Linked DNA regions of Nothobranchius furzeri. The protein of the gene in region 3 binds, or shares a complex with, the protein of the main gene of each other region. Links are inferred from orthologs where the notes say so. Each region holds a gene or a part of one and is shown on either strand. Other genes may lie near its edges.

The links.
Region 1: ppp4r3b (region 3) and ppp4r1l share a complex: the UniProt entries of both Homo sapiens proteins name them as parts of the PP4 complex. The link is inferred for Nothobranchius furzeri from reciprocal best matches to the Homo sapiens genes PPP4R3B and PPP4R1.
Region 2: ppp4r3b (region 3) and serine/threonine-protein phosphatase 4 catalytic subunit B share a complex: the UniProt entries of both Homo sapiens proteins name them as parts of the PP4 complex. The link is inferred for Nothobranchius furzeri from reciprocal best matches to the Homo sapiens genes PPP4R3B and PPP4C.
Region 4: ppp4r3b (region 3) and ppp4r4 share a complex: the UniProt entries of both Homo sapiens proteins name them as parts of the PP4 complex. The link is inferred for Nothobranchius furzeri from reciprocal best matches to the Homo sapiens genes PPP4R3B and PPP4R4.

What each region holds. Positions count from the first base shown.
Region 1 is NC_091743.1:58,789,769-58,793,131, forward strand, and holds part of ppp4r1l (serine/threonine-protein phosphatase 4 regulatory subunit 1), read left to right. Parts: coding exon 1-1; intron 2-67; coding exon 68-387; intron 388-873; coding exon 874-960; intron 961-1,039; coding exon 1,040-1,225; intron 1,226-1,405; coding exon 1,406-1,567; intron 1,568-2,109; coding exon 2,110-2,210; intron 2,211-2,319; coding exon 2,320-2,440; intron 2,441-2,613; coding exon 2,614-2,748; intron 2,749-2,890; coding exon 2,891-3,032; intron 3,033-3,149; coding exon 3,150-3,295; 3' UTR 3,296-3,363. UniProt on the Homo sapiens protein: Regulatory subunit of serine/threonine-protein phosphatase 4. May play a role in regulation of cell division in renal glomeruli. The PPP4C-PPP4R1 PP4 complex may play a role in dephosphorylation and regulation of HDAC3.
Region 2 is NC_091758.1:11,558,709-11,563,513, reverse strand, and holds the start of serine/threonine-protein phosphatase 4 catalytic subunit B, read right to left. Parts: upstream 3,035-4,805; 5' UTR 2,844-3,034; intron 2,360-2,843; 5' UTR 2,218-2,359; coding exon 2,108-2,217; intron 1,884-2,107; coding exon 1,832-1,883; intron 1,756-1,831; coding exon 1,705-1,755; intron 1-1,704. UniProt on the Homo sapiens protein: Protein phosphatase that is involved in many processes such as microtubule organization at centrosomes, maturation of spliceosomal snRNPs, apoptosis, DNA repair, tumor necrosis factor (TNF)-alpha signaling, activation of c-Jun N-terminal kinase MAPK8, regulation of histone acetylation, DNA damage checkpoint signaling, NF-kappa-B activation and cell migration.
Region 3 is NC_091752.1:26,257,726-26,262,565, reverse strand, and holds the start of ppp4r3b (serine/threonine-protein phosphatase 4 regulatory subunit 3B), read left to right. Parts: upstream 1-1,771; 5' UTR 1,772-2,003; coding exon 2,004-2,145; intron 2,146-2,647; coding exon 2,648-2,703; intron 2,704-2,817; coding exon 2,818-2,916; intron 2,917-2,993; coding exon 2,994-3,617; intron 3,618-4,768; coding exon 4,769-4,840. Other genes in the region: pnpt1 (polyribonucleotide nucleotidyltransferase 1, mitochondrial), read left to right, coding at 510-565, 698-776, 893-940, 1,021-1,170. UniProt on the Homo sapiens protein: Regulatory subunit of serine/threonine-protein phosphatase 4 (PP4). May regulate the activity of PPP4C at centrosomal microtubule organizing centers.
Region 4 is NC_091742.1:16,616,095-16,619,189, reverse strand, and holds part of ppp4r4 (serine/threonine-protein phosphatase 4 regulatory subunit 4), read left to right. Parts: intron 1-1,663; coding exon 1,664-1,754; intron 1,755-1,866; coding exon 1,867-1,928; intron 1,929-2,145; coding exon 2,146-2,596; intron 2,597-3,095. UniProt on the Homo sapiens protein: Putative regulatory subunit of serine/threonine-protein phosphatase 4.

The DNA.
Region 1 (3,363 bases), on a different chromosome or scaffold from region 3:
GGTGGGTAGATAGGAATGGAGATTTTACTGGTGTGTAGATTTAACTGAGTGTGTATTTCACCTCCAGTTCAAGTCCAAGTCTTGTCAGCAGCTCTGAAGGCGGCCCAGCTCGACAGCCCGTCTGACGGCAGCCCGACAGAAACCAGCCCTACCGAGGAGCCGCCTGAAGACAGCCCTGAGGGCCTATCAGGGGACGGCATTTCTATTGATCTACAGCCGGAGATGGAGGACGCTAGCACAGACCAAGAAGAAACAATGGAAATTTCTCCAGCTGCAGAAACGTGTCCGGTCCAGGAGCAAGAAAATGAAGAGACTCAAACTGAACCTCTGGAGAAGCAGGAGGAGTCTCCACCCAACTCTCCTGTTCTGGGGCCTCAGATACTACGGGTACATATCCATAAAAACATGGCCATGAAATGATCGTGGAGACGTGCGCAGCCTCACTAACTATGGCAGGAGCACATGCACATCTACGGTTATCACTCTTAGGGAAACTGGTAAAGGTGTAGAAACTATTATACACCACAGACGCATCCATTTGTGCACAGTTGCATAATATATTTAATCAAATGCAATATAAAGCAGAGAACAACTTCAACAACAGCAGAGGATGTTCTGGCCCCAAACCATGATTGTCAGCTGTTTTAGGTTTCCAAGGGCGACCCTGTTTTAACGGCTCAGAGCTGCATCGCAGTGTTTATTATTTTTTCTGTTGATTAGATTTTTCATGCAATAGTTTGGAGTCTGTGGCAGCTTTGTTAAACCGTTTGTTAAAACTATTTTAGTTGTTTTCATGGATGATTTGAGATATTTGTGGTTTTCGCTTGTACTTTCCTGCTCTTTTACGTTTTTGTGGGTTCTCATTTTCCTCAGGAGTCTAGCTTAATTGAAAATGTGGAGGAGGAGGAAAAGGACGCCTGTCTTCACAGCCCAACGTCAGAGGATAAGCCCAAAATCCAGGTCGGTCATGATAAACGAATCCCACGATCATTATGGATTCCTCGTGTTTAATCATCTAACTTGGACTTCCTGTCTGCAGAATGTCATCCCTCAGCAGCTGTTGGATCAGTACCTCTCTATGACGGACCCCGCCCGGGCCCAGACGGTGGACACGGAGATAGCCAAACACTGTGCCTTCAGCCTTCCGGGTGTGGCGCTCACTCTGGGCCGACAGAATTGGCACTGCCTAAAGGACACATATGAAACCCTCGCCACGGACGTGCAGGTAGGTATCAGGAAATCACAAGTGTAATGATGTCTGGTGTTTGGGCCTTTGTAGCTTTGAAGCTCATCAGAAAACAGGATCTGTAGTGGTTCATGCTTAAGGTCACCACAGACACTCCACTTTGTGTTGGATTATTAGCACTGGCTTTATGGTTTTAATTCCCCACATTTTCCCTCTCAGTGGAAGGTGCGGCGAACGTTGGCTTTCTCCATCCATGAGCTGGCGGTTATCCTGGGGGACCAGCTGACTGCAGCTGATCTGGTTCCCATCTTCAACGGCTTCCTCAAAGACCTAGATGAGGTTCGCATCGGCGTGCTCAAGCACCTGTACGACTTCCTGAAGGTAAGATCTCCACTGCGCCATAACGAGAGCAAACCTGCCAACCTGTACGCATTTTGCGTCGCCAGTATGCAATTTGGCATCTATTTACGCTGGTACGACTCACCCATTTAAACTTCGCACAAAGCTGCGGATACGTGAGTTGAGTTCTGTGGCAAATATGTACGTGTGGTACTCGTGTCTGACAACACGACTCAGTGGCGTGGTGAAGAAGTTTAAGCCAATCATCGTAGAAAAGCAGAGTAAGCCTATCCTGCCTAACCAGTAGCCTAAAACCCCCCTCCTCCCTGCCTCGTTCCTCCTCTCTCCCACTGGTTCGCCACTCGCTGCTGTTCTGGTAAGGTAAAGTGTGTGTGTGCGTGTGTGTGTGTGTGTGAAATTTTCCATCCAGTGAATGGGGAGATTACAGCGTGAAAAGCAATGGAGTTGTAAAAGTCTGCGAAAAACGCCGCACAGGTGGTACTCAAAAAATGTTTGACAAGGTTGGCAGGTCTGCGAGAGAGGAGGTTGTTTGCTGTTGATAACGGAGCAGGTTTGTGTCGCAGCTGCTGCACGCAGACAAAAGGAGAGAGTATCTGTACCAGCTGCAGGAGTTCATGGTGACGGACAACAGTCGAAACTGGAGATTCAGATATGAGCTGGCAGAGTAAGTGTCTCTGAGGGAGAGAGGATCTTCACTAGGAGTGGACAGATATATCAGTCGGCCGGTATGTCCCCGTGCATTCACCGTGTGCCTCACTGGCTTTGTCCTCTAGGCAGCTGATCTTGATCATTGAGCTGTACAGCCACTACGATGTGTATGACTACCTCAGACAGATCGCCCTCACCCTCTGCTCTGACAAGGTCTCAGAGGTCAGGTGGATCTCCTACAAACTGGTACGTTTTACTGCCGGCTGCGCAAACTGACCTGTGGAGGAAAAATGCAAGCAGCTTGTGAACTTTTGCCCAACAGAATTAGGTTCTAAATACTGGTGTTTGTTTTTAATGAAACCGTGTAAATGAACACTGTGTAGATGGAGCGAGTGTGTCATCACTTCCTCTGCTCTCAGGTGGTGGAGATCCTCCAGAAACTTTATGCATGTGGTGCTGACGACCTTGGCCTGAATTTCATCAACGAGCTCACCGTCAGGTTTTGCCACTGTCCCAAGTGGGTGGGGAGGCAGGCCTTTGCTTTCATCTGCCAGGTCTGTGGATCTAATGGGAGAAGTGGGGAAGCACCATTTTCTCTGACTGATCTGACAAATGTTCTCCTGTGGTTACAATAGTTGACCCCCCCCCCCCTCCACTAGTTGTCTGAGTTTGATAGTTTTGTGGTTCTCCCTGCAGGCCGTGGTTGAGGAGGACTGCATGCCCATGGAGCAGTTCAGCCAGCATCTGTTGCCCAGCCTCCTCAGCCTCTCCTCTGATCCGGTGGCTAACGTCCGAGTTTTGGTGGCCAAGGCTTTACGACAGAGCGTCATGGAGAAAGGTGATCTATAAATAGACCCGGTGTGGGACATGCAGCTTGTAAAACATCCTCAGCTCAGAATTGCACAAGCAAAAGAGGATAATGTTTGTTACGAAGTTCCCGTTTGCTTCCTTCCAGCTTACTTCAAGGAGCCGGGCTGTGCCTACTCCGACGAGCTTGAAGAGACAGTGATGACTCTGCAGTCTGACAAGGACCGCGACGTGAGGTTCTTTGCCAGCTTGGACCCAAACAAAGGCTTAATGGACACGACTCCTTTGATTTAGCCTCGCCGCCTAAAACCCCATCACAGCTCACCTGCCTGTCTTACCTGTCTGACTGACTGATGCACAGT
Region 2 (4,805 bases), on a different chromosome or scaffold from region 3:
ATTTGATGTCAGACGGGCTGCTGTGCAACCGGTTTTGAATCTGACGGACATTCCAGCGGTCATCCCACTCCCTCTTTACTTGTTGTTCATAACTGTAACGAATGTGGGACCTTAGTTGTGAGTCAGATTTATATTAAAAACAGTAGACTGAAAAAGCGTTAATTATAGTGTGTTTTTTACTCTTTTAATATAATTCTGATGCACAACCAGAGTCCCTCACTCTGCAGGGTTTCCCCCAGCGCTTTATAAGCTTGGCCACCCGCCAGGCTAAGAGTCATGCCCGCCCCCCCTCCCCGACCCTACCGTGCCCCCTGACATGAACGGCGCAAGAGCCCTCCATCAGCTGATACTGGTGAGAAACAGCAATGGAACGTGTGCAAGAGCTAATAACAGTAAGTGTGAAAAAGGGGGCTTTTTTTTAACCACTGGTTGCAAAATTGTGAACCGTAACCAGCTGCTTATATCGGAGATTTCTGACGCAGTCCGATATAGTCAGATACAGTATTTTTGAGCCAAAATCGAATTACTTCCGATATCGATATCATGCTCATTATTAAAGCACATGCCTGCATTAATAATGAGCATGCATGTGCTTTATCTCAATTTTACACTCACACCATCAGACACACTGGGTTTGGTGGTTGTGGAATATGTGGGCATCCCTTTGTGCCTTCTAACTCAGACATGAAAATGGGTCAAGGGTGAAGAAGATGAGACCCACTCCACATCAAGGAAAGTAGCCACCCCCTGAGAGGATATCCGGTGATGGGGGAGTTGGTCTGGGGGACTCCCACTGAGAAGTTTTAGTGAGCAGATGTCATTTCCCACATCCTAGTGCTTTTTAGCAGGTATTTAATCATATTTAAAATATTTGCTTTTAAATTAACAACTTAAAAATTGAGCTTTAAAAACTACATTTATCAATGAAATAAGATAAATAACATGTTTGGCCTGGTTCGTTATTTTGTTTGAACCCAGTGGTCTCATTTCATACATGAGATGGAGCAGGAACCAGTCTCTGCTGCTGAAAACACTAAAAGAACCATAAACTGCCAATAAAATGATGGATGTTTATTTTGTATTTGCTAATAATAATAATAATAATACAAGCAGGAGGCAGTGGGCTGGATTAGGATTTAATTTAATTATATTTATAGGATTTTATTTAATAACAGCTACCTCCCCTTAACTAACCCTTCCTTTGGGGACATTTTGTCTTTTATGATCTTCTTGTGTCCATTGTGTCTCTGAGGAGAAGAAACAAGCAAACATCTAACTCTAAAGGTAGACAAAAGTTTCCTCCCAGTTTAATTTATCAGTTCAAGTCACCCTGGTTCATGAAACAGAATAAAGTTCAGCAAGAACTTCCACAGTCTGACAGCAAAACAGTATTATAATTTCTCTCTGACTGCTCTGACCTCTCAGCTCCTCCTGCTTACTGATAGAAATCATGAATGTGAAACCATAACACCATTCTACAAAATAACATTAACAGTATATGGGGCGCTCCGTGCAGCATGTCAGAGCGTCTAAAGGTATGCTTGAATATACACGTCATTTTTTTGGACGGACGAATATCACTCAAAAAAATTCTTACGTATAAGCTTTAGGACATTTATCACTGTTCAGTGTCACCGGTACCAAACAAAATAAAAAATTACTACGGTTTTTGACAACAGTAAGCCAAAATGAACAGAAACTTACTCTGAAGAGCTCTTTCAGGTCATAGAATTGACCGTGAATATCGCCACACACCTGCAAAAACAAAAACATTTATACATTTGGCCACTTTTAAAAGAGTGAGTAGATTTTTCGACAAACGAGGAGATACCGTGACAGGAGAGTCTACTCTCTGGACATTGCTTTCTTCAACCAGGATTTCTCTGAAAATACACCCACATTTTAGAAAATTGTGTTTTTACAGCTACTTTATAAACAAATACATCTGTCACACTGAACATCAAGCAATCATTGTATGCACGGGCAAGGACGATAACCACAACAGTGATTCATAACATTGTTCCAGGACTCTAGGAGGTGCTCTATCCGGTCGTTTACCATTTAACATTACAACAACATCTTCATCAGAAGTAACGTGATGGAGTACCTGGCTTTGGCACACAATGCTTTGACTTCATTTTCCTTGATGAGCTCACAGCGCCTGAGCTGCTCTATCTGTCGGTCCAGGTCACTGATGTCTCCCATTGTCACACACATAGAGGGAGCTAGTTACACACCGTCCACACACTCAGATGTATGCTCCTAGCCCACAGAGCAACCACGGAATAAAATAGAGGACTCCTTCCTTTACAGAGACGGCTGCTTTAATCTGGGTGGCTTTGGTAATGGTGATAATGATCTGTAAAGGAACAAAAACGTTTTAACAAACGGTCACACGTTACAGCAATTATGGTCGAATTCGCAGAGATAAACGTGGATTAACGTTTTATGTGGTTCTCCCTGACTAAGAAAGCGTTTATTAACACGGAACACTGAGAAACAGGACATTTTCTAGGAATGCGAGGCCTAGGGGTGTAGCTTAGCATGCTAGCTTACGTCACGGTAGACCACCCACTACACATTCTTTATTAACACAGGAATTCGTTCCACAGACCACATATAAACCTCCCAGTCCTTAGCGAACATTTATGTAACTGGGGACATGAAAAACGATCACCAAAACGCTGGAAAGTCTTCAACAACCGCGGGACCTGGTTAACTCCCGCGACAGCGCTACCTAGCTCCGTTTAGCTAGTTGTTAGCGGGTTAGCTAGCTCAACAAACGTAGTTACTCGTTCCACACGTCACCGCTAACCTAACAAAACCAAAATATTTACATTTACCGTGTTAGAGTGTGTTTGAAGACGGCAATCAATGTTTCATCCCGTGGGGCTGATGATTCTTTCGTTGACCGGCTCCTCTCCCTCCCCCGGTATCCTTTGCCGGTTTAGCTAGCTAGTCCTGCTCGCTGATCTCAACGCCAACGACCTGGTGTCACTTCCGGTGTTGTCGCCGGTTCCAGCCTCCAAACCGAACCACGCATCTAGACCAAACCAGTGTTAAAACATTCTAGGCATGGGGCTGACGCCACCAGGACCTGCATTTTTGTTCCTGTTCAGCCTCCAGCTGCTTCTTCACTCGACTTCTAGCGACAGGCGGAAGAAATGGGAGCGGTAGCATCTCCTGGTTTCAGACAACTCGATGAGTCCATGAGGTCAACGTTTGATGGGATGTCTGGCTTGTAATGTTTCTGGAAGTATGCACCAAGTTTCAGGTTCTTCACAAAAGATGTTTATTGTGTTCCTTCTCCAGCTGTACATCATTCTCTCATCAGCGCTCACCTCTACCCTTAAATAGATTATCTATCTATTTATTCAAAACTCAGGTTTTGAGTTTGTTCATGAACTGAAACGTTACATTTTTATAATTCTTTAATTCATAAATAATAATCATAATAATCTTTCAATTTAGATAATTTTTTAACATAAAACATCAATAACAAATACACAAAAATATACCGTAATTTCATGGGAAAAAAAAGACCAGCAGGTGTTCACGATCTCTTCCAATAAACAACCAGGTTTTTTTTTTATATAATATTTTGTTTTTCAGGTTTTTAGTCAAGCCATATAAACAAACATACGTTTACGGCTGCCAGACCACACTGTAAACAGAAAGGTATATAAAACAGTTACTATTAAGCACATTTACAGATGATAGAGCAACATTATATTAGGTATGTTTCAGCACCAGTCATTAATCCAAACCATTTCACCAGCTAGATAACCTTGTAGTGGGTTAGGAAAGGTCTCCAGCCCTCCTCAAGCTTGCTGCGAGAGCCAGTCTTGTGTGAATGTAGCAATTCCAGTTGAATGACATGTAGCATCTCTGTGAGCCAATGTCCAAAAGAAGGTGGGGTTGTAGATTTCCATTTCAGAAGAATGAGTTTTTAAGCCACAACCATCCCTAACTGTAGAGCGGTCCCCATGTGCTGTGGCAGCCGAGGAGCCAGCGAAGGACATCCAAGAATTGCCAGTGTGGGGGTGGGCTGAATGTCACTACCATAAACATCTGAACAACATTTAAAGATTGCAGACCAGAATCTGCTCAATGAAGGACAGAACCAGAATAAATGTGCTAACGAACCTTCTGCTATATGGCATCTGTCACACTCGGTAGACGCAGATGGGAACATTTTGTTCAATTTTATTTTAGAGTAATGCAGCCTGTGTAGAACCGTAAACTGGATCAATCTAAGGCGAGAGTTGACGGAACAGCGGGTAATCTGAGATAATGCTCCTTCCCAGAGTGCGTCAGACGCCTCACAGTTCAAGTCCACTGCCCAAGCCTCTCTATGAAAGTCTGAGGAAACTGTGGCAGCAAAGCAGCTAACAAACTTTGACACAATCCGCTTGGAGTTTGGAGGAAGCAAAAAATTCTTAATAAGGGTGTGTGTGGTGGAAGAGGGTTCAAGATTTGGGCACCATTCCCTAACACAGTGTCTGACTTGAAGGTAGCGAAAAAAAATGTAAATTAGGGAGATTATACTTTGAACTAATCTGCGAAAATGAATTGACCACCAATAAACAGATCCGCAAATGATCTGATGCCCCTCTCCTTCCAGGCCATGAATACTGCATCTTGCTGCCTGGCTGTGAATACATGGTTTTGGCGAATAGGAGCCTGTATTGAGACGATGGGAGCCTGAAAAGCGTTTTTAATCTGACAGGATTCGTAGAGAGTTCCTTAAAATAAAATTGTGTTGTAGTCAGTGTTGCCAACTCAGCGACTTTGTCACTGTTCCT
Region 3 (4,840 bases):
TGCTTGGGTGGATGACTGTGTTGTAAAGTGCCTTGGTGGGTTGTAGAACCCTAAAAGGTGCTATATCAAGGACAGCATTTTGGGCATTTGAAAAACCTGACAGATCCACGTCATATTGTAAATTAACATGCATGACCTCACCCATCTTGGCTCACGACGAGGAAGGCTGTTGTTGATTTAGCGTCCTGGAAACGGCGAGAATGTCACTGCTGGTAGAAGCTAATCGTTAGCATCAGCAACTCCACAACATGGCAGAACTGCTTCAGGCTTGTGTTATTTGTGGAGATAAAACATCAACGTTGCAAAGCAAATAGAGTCAGTGGTAGAGTCGCGTTGCTGTTAGCCAATCAGAGGCCAGATTTTTCATATCATTACTAATAATGAGTCAGACTCCAAATCCTGCTGTTTTCTGCTGTCTTTTGTTTTCCTTCATATTCATAAATTCAGGGCGGTACCATCCACTCATGGATTTTATGTTTATTATATATTTATTTTCCATTCATTTGTAGCAAGAACAGCAGCTGGAGTTTGGTGCTGTCTACACTGCCACCATCACAGAAATAAGGTAAGGAAATAAAATCAGAATGGTTATTATGAATTACATTAGTGGGTAAGTGGATCACTGGACATTGATCTGTGGAGTATTAAAATAATTTGGGTTCATTTGCCCACTAAGAGTTTTTCTCCTCTGCTTTAGGGATATTGGAGTGATGGTGAAACTTTATCCCAACATGAGTCCAGTGCTACTGCACAACTCCCAGCTGGACCATAAACGGGTCTGTATTTGTGAGCCTTTGTTTAGTCGATTTAGGTTTTGTGTGTAAAAAACAAAACAAAAATAAAACTAAAATTCGAGACTCTTCAAATATAAATATATATTTTTTGCACTTAGATCAAACATCCAAGTGCTTTGGGCTTAGAAGTGGGACAGGAGATACAGGTATGCATCATTAACTACGACTGGTTAAAAGTAGAAATCGTGTGTCCATTTTGGGTTGATCACGTTTCATTTGTGCTCAGGTCAAGTACTTTGGACGGGATCCAACAGATGGAAGGATGAGGCTTTCGCGAAAGGTGCTCCAGTCTCCTGCTGCAACTGTGGTTAAAACCCTGAGTGAGAAACAGAGCATCTCTATGGGCAACAGCAACAGGACCGAAATGGACGTATGACACCATGCTTCAGCAGACGGGATTGAAACTGTCGAGATATTTTGAGAAAAGGAACATATGGACATATTTACTGAAGGAAATAACATGAGGTGCTTGTTTATTAACTCTAAATAGCTACTGAGTTCTGGTACTCTTTACTGAAACATCCTCTAATAAATCTGCCTCAGCCACATCTGATTGAGATACAGATGATGTTGATTCTAATGTTTTTTTTTTTCCGACATTGCCTTTTATGTTTTTTACGTCACTTGAAACAACAAGTCTGTGTTTCTGTTGGTCACACCTGGTGTGATAATACAGGTGTGAGTGGATGGACGTATGAGTTGTGCTCAAGAGACTCATGGTGTATTTATAGTAAATGTGATATGTGTATTTACCAATATTAATCATTTTTATAGCTAAAACTCATTTTCGTAAATAAAATACACAAAATAATCCAGACGGTTACTAATATTTTTACTTTCGATAGAAGGCGCTGTGTTGTACTGCTAGTAAATTAAGCCCCGCCTACCCCACGGCGGTTAGTGTTTGACAACTACGAAGAAAAAGATCGGATTACAAGATGGTGGTCTGTGGACGCTAGCAGGCAGGCCGTTGGAGTTGTGTGCTCTTTTAATTTCACTGTTTGGTTGTCAGGCCTCCTTGCTTTATTCCGTAGACGAAATATGTTGAAGTAGCCACAAATATTTATAACAGCAGTTGCAAGTTCCAATTAGACGTGCATGTTTTATAACATGCAGATGGGAAAAAAGTTAAAAGGTCGAGGAAAACACTAGACGGCGTGAGGAGATAGGCTGTTAGCATCCAGCTAGCTAGCTCCGACTCGATTAGCCATGTCGGACACTCGGCGGCGTGTTAAAGTGTACACCCTGAACGAAGACAGACAATGGGACGATCGAGGCACCGGACACGTCTCGTCTACATTCGTGGAGCGACTAAAAGGGATTTCACTCTTAGTTCGAGCTGAATCGGACGGTAGGTTCTCCGTTAGCATAGCCGCATTCACGCTACGTTGGCTATAACTTTAGCATGCTATCTCCTTGTCCTCAGAACGCCTTGGTTCATATTTTGTTTTGAGGGGCGTCATATGTTATGTACGTTTATTCTTACTTTTGTGGCTCACCGTATTCGACAGTTAAAATTCAAAGCAACAACCTTGTCCTATACAAGTTTTTTTTAAATAGCAATGCTTCACATGCTCATTTGTTTAAAACACGACATCACGATCACGCACGGGGGCTCCTCGAAGTCTCACGGTACACGTTCAAACTTGGAGTTGCTCATATTTGGCTCCAGCACACATTTAAATACAGATTATCTTAAGTTACTTGTCAAATGTGGATTTTGGTTAACATTAAGTGTATATTTTCAAAGTTATGTCCAGTTTAGTGTTGTTAGTAATTACTTGACCACGTTTTGCTGTTAATATAGCAATCATATGTACTGTTTATATAATCGACTATCATCACAATTTTAGGATCGTTGCTGTTGGAGTCGAAGATAAGTCCAAATACCGCATATCAGAAACAACAGGTAGTAAGCCTTCACGACACGTGGTATCTTGATCTGTGTGAATGAAAACTTCTGATTGCCATAACCAGCCGAGACTCTTAAACCAAAACTGGATGTTTGTTTCTCTCTCTGTAGGACACACTGATTGTCTGGTCTGAAGCAGATAATTATGATCTTGCCTTAAGTTTCCAGGAAAAGGCTGGTTGTGATGAGATTTGGGAGAAAATTTGTCAGGTATCGTTCAGCCAGCAAAGTTGATGAATGTCATCCTCTCTGAATTGCTATTGACATAACAATCATTTATAACTCAGGTTCAAGGTAAGGACCCTGCTCTGGACATCACCCAGGACCCAATTGATGAGTCAGAGGAAGACCACTTTGAGGAGATCCCGGAGACAACGCATCTGGTTGAGCTGCCTCCTTGTGAGTTAAGTCGACTGGAGGAAATAGCTGATCTGGTTACCTCTGTCTTGTCGTCGCCTATCCGAAGAGAAAAACTTGCCCTGGCACTGATGAGTGAGGGCTACATCAAGAAACTGCTGGGTCTCTTCAGAGTATGTGAGGATCTGGAGAACAGAGAAGGTCTGCATCACCTCTATGAGATTGTGCGAGGTGTCTTGTTCCTCAACAAAGCAGCTCTATTTGAGATTATGTTCTCCGACGACTGTATCATGGATGTAGTGGGTTGCCTGGAGTACGACCCGGCCCTGGTTCAGCCTAAACGACACAGGGAATTCTTGACCAAGACGGCAAAGTTTAAGGAGGTGATCCCTATCACAGACTCTGAGCTGCGGCAGAAAATCCACCAGACATACCGTGTTCAGTACATCCAGGACATAATCCTGCCCACACCATCCGTCTTTGAGGAAAACTTCCTATCCACACTCACGTCCTTCATCTACTTCAACAAAGTGGAAATAGTCAGTATGTTGCAGGTAAGGATTCAAAACGCTCAAAATGAATTAAATTCTGACATTTCTAAAGTTTGTGTGGTGTATTACTGATTATGTATGATGTTTAATAACATTACATCTTAATTAGTTCCTTTAGTTTTCATTGTTTTTAGATAATTTAGTAGGGATGCAACGATACCCCTTTTTTCCAAACCGATACGATACCGATACTTGGATCTGAGTACTCGCCGATACCGATTACCGATACTTCTACCACACAAACAAAATGCAATGGTTTGGAATACAGATTTTATTTTCTTCTCTGCTTTCAACAGGAAAAGACTGTGAGGTAGATAAAAAGTAAAATATATGAATAGAAGTCATCACAAAACTAAAATATTAGGTGAACAGAAATGACTAGTTACAGTGAAGCCATTTTCAAGCAACTGCATTGGTATCGGTTAACTTTACCCCAATACTGGAATCTGTATCGGCACCGGTGCATCCCTATCATTTAGTAAACTCATCTTTCCTGTACTGAAAAATTGGATTTTATAGGGGATGATAAATTAAATGTGAACATCTGAGAAGACCGTTTTTGTTGTGACTCAGTTTGTCTTTTAAAAACAGATCTGTTAAGATTTGCGGACAGTTGGATGTGTTTTGTGATTGTTCTGGCATGACTCTTGAGTGAGGGATGTGTTGCAGACAATGTCTCATTTTCTAAATAATTTAACAATTTCAGAGTTCTGTATTAAATTAAGGTAAACAATTGCTTCTGTTCAAGTGTTTAAAAAAGATATTTTGTGTTTAAATGGTTTACCCTTTGATATAAAAATCTTGTATTTGTGCAGCTTCAGTGTTTAATGTGAATAAACACCGAAATGCTGTGAATGATTTAAAGTGACGCACAGTGACATCAGAGATTTCTGCTGCTGGAAATACGGCAAAGCAAATGTAAACAAAAGGAGCAGTAGTAAAAGGGAAACATGAATTTCTGTTAGTTTCTTCCAACTGTTCTACAGGTGAGCGGAAACAGTTCTAAAGATTGTACAGAATGATCATGGTAAGCTCAAATAATCGTCACGGGATTAGGTTTATTTTTTATCCTCAGTTTGAATTTATTATAAGTCTTTAACTTTTTCATTACTTGGTAATCTTGTGTGCTAACACACATTCTGACTCTGCTGCAGGAGGATGAGAAGTTCCTGACGGAGGTCTTTGCACAGCTCACAGACGAAGCCACAGACAGTAAAAGAAGGGAG
Region 4 (3,095 bases), on a different chromosome or scaffold from region 3:
GATGATGACGATAATGGTGGTGATGGTGATGATGACGATGATGATGATGATGATGGTGACGACTGTGATGACTATGGTGATGGTGACGATGATGGTGGTGACGATGATGGTGGTGATGATGATGGTGGTGGTGGTGATGATGATGATGGTCACGACGATGATGGTGATAGTGGTGGTGGTGATGATGATAATGATGATGAGATAATGACGATGATGGTGATGATGATGATGACGATCATGACAACGGTGGTGATGATGATGATGGTGGTGATGATGGTGGTGGTGATGATGATGATGATAATGGTGGTGATGATGGTGGTGATTGTGATGATGATGACGATCATGATGATGGTGGTGGTGATGGTGACGATGATGATGATGATAATGATGATGACGATGGTGGTGATGATGACGATCATGATGACGATGGTGGTGGTGATGATGGTGGTGATTGTGATGATGATGACGATCATGATGATGGTGGTGGTGATGGTGACGATGATGATGATGACGATCATGATGACGATGGTGGTGGTGGTGGTGATGATGATGACGATGGTGATGATGATGGTGGTGGTGGTGGTGATGATAATGATGATGGCGATAATGATGACGATTGGTGGTGGTGATGATGATGATGATGATGACGATAATGATGACGATGGTGGTGATGATGATGAGGATGATGATGACGATGGTGGTGGTGGTGGTGGTGATTATGATGACGATGGTGAAGATGGTGATGATGATGATGGTGGTGATGGTGGTGGTGATGGTGGTGGTGATGATGACGATGGTGATGATGGTGATGGTGGTGGTGATGATGATGATGGTGGTGATGGTGGTGGTGATGGTGGTGGTGATGATGACGATGGTGATGATGGTGATGGTGGTGGTGATGATGATGATGGTGGTGATGGTGGTGGTGGTGGTGGTGATGATGATGGTGATGGTGGTGGTGATGATGATGGTGATGGTGGTGGTGATGATGATGATGGTGGTGGTGGTGATGATGATGGTGGTGGTGGTGGTGTTGATGAGGATGATGATGGCGATCATGATGACAATGTTGGTGGTGGTGGTGGTGGTGATGATGATGACGATGGTGGTGGTGGTGATGATTATGGTGGTGGTGATGATGATGACGATGGTGGTGGTGGTGATGATTATGGTGGTGGTGGTGATGATGATGATGGTGGTGATGGTGGTGGTGGTGGTGGTGATGATGATGGTGATGGTGGTGGTGATGATGATGGTGATGGTGGTGGTGATGATGATGATGGTGGTGGTGGTGGTGGTGTTAATGAGGATGATGATGGCGATCATGATGACAATGTTGGTGGTGGTGGTGGTGGTGATGATGATGACGATGGTGGTGGTGGTGATGATTATGGTGGTGGTGATGATGGTGACGATGGTGATGATGGTGGTGGTGATGGTGGTGATGACGATGATGATGATGATGACGATCATGATGACACTGGTGGTGGTGGTGATGATGACGATGGTGGTGGTGGTGATGATTATGGTGGTGGTGATGATGGTGATGATGGTGATAATGTACATGATGATTATGGCGGTGGTGGTGGTGGTGGTGATGTTAATGATGATGATGGTGGTAATGAAGATGGTAAACATAGTTACCAGGGCTTCTTTTGTGCAGGTAAAGAGATGAGAAGAAGCAAACTGTCACGCAGTCGGTCCCTCAGTAGCCAGCCTCCAACGTCTAAACCTGTCCACTCAGAGAAATCTCAGTAAGAACCCTAAACCCACCAGCAGGTTTATCTTGTGTCTGTTTGTCCATTTTGGTTTTAAACAACTGAGCAGGTTTTTTTTTTTACTTTTCTTTTTTTTTCTGTGTTTCAGGAAGGTCAAAGATCTGGGATGCTCCTCTGGACTAGGAAAGTCCTCCACGATGTCCACCAAAGGTAGCTACACAGCTGTTAAAGTTCAATTCTCTTCCTCACTCACTCACTCACTCACTCACTCACTCACTCACTCACACACACACACACACATCCAAACACAGCGGTGGCAGTAGTGTATCATGGTCTGTCTGAAACAGTAGAGTAAAATCGGAATGAGCCGACTGTTCCAACATAGCCCATGTGACTGTCTCTACTCTTACATCACTTCCTGTTTCAGATGACTCTGTGAGGGCCGCCCACTTCACTTTGACAACCCAGTCCACCTCCTCCATGCCTGTTCTGATCTGCAGCAACACTACAAGCCTTCTGGACAGAGCCAGTATCTTGGACCAGAAAGACCACAGAATCCGAACACTAGACCACAGAACTAGTAATATGGACCACAGAAACAATATGATGGAGTATAGAACCAGTAACTTGGACCAAAGAGACTTCAGAACCAGTATCTTGGACCAAAGAGACTTCAGAACCAGTAACTTGGACCAAAGAGACTTCAGAACCAGTATCTTGGACCAAAGAGAGCACAGGACCAGTACCTTAGACAAGAGAGACTTCAGAACCAGTATCTCGGACCAGAGAGAACACAGAACCAGTACCTTGGGGCAGCGTAGTAAAACAATGGACCATGGCTATGGGACGAGTGACTCTCAGTCCAAGAAGTTGTCCATGTGAGTTCTGGTTTAATTTTCTCCTGTGGCTGGTTTGTCTGGGTCAGGTCTTCTGGGTGTGAGCTTCTGGTGTCAGGACCCTTCTTAACCTGTTATTGGCCTGGGATTTGGATTGTTAGGGTTAGGCTTTGAGATCTGGTGATTGAAGCCATTTGTTTTGTCCCTGTGAGGGAGCAAGTGTAAAAGCAGGAGTCAGTTAGAAAAACAGGGTTTTTATTACAATCCAAAAAAGGATTGCTCTAAAAGAGACACCCCTTTAACAACACACCCTAACTCAGAGTAAATCACACTTCTGTGATATCAAACTGTCCAATCGATAGAAGTTCATACACCAACTGGCTTGGTCTATATTTAATCAAAAAGATTAATATTTAATTTAAGAGATTTAAATTAATAGCAAAAGTTTATTTATTAATTCAGAAGATCTAAAGAGATCTTTGCTCGTTCAGTGACCAAATATACAACACTCTGTGTTTTATTCAAAGTACAGTCAGGTTTA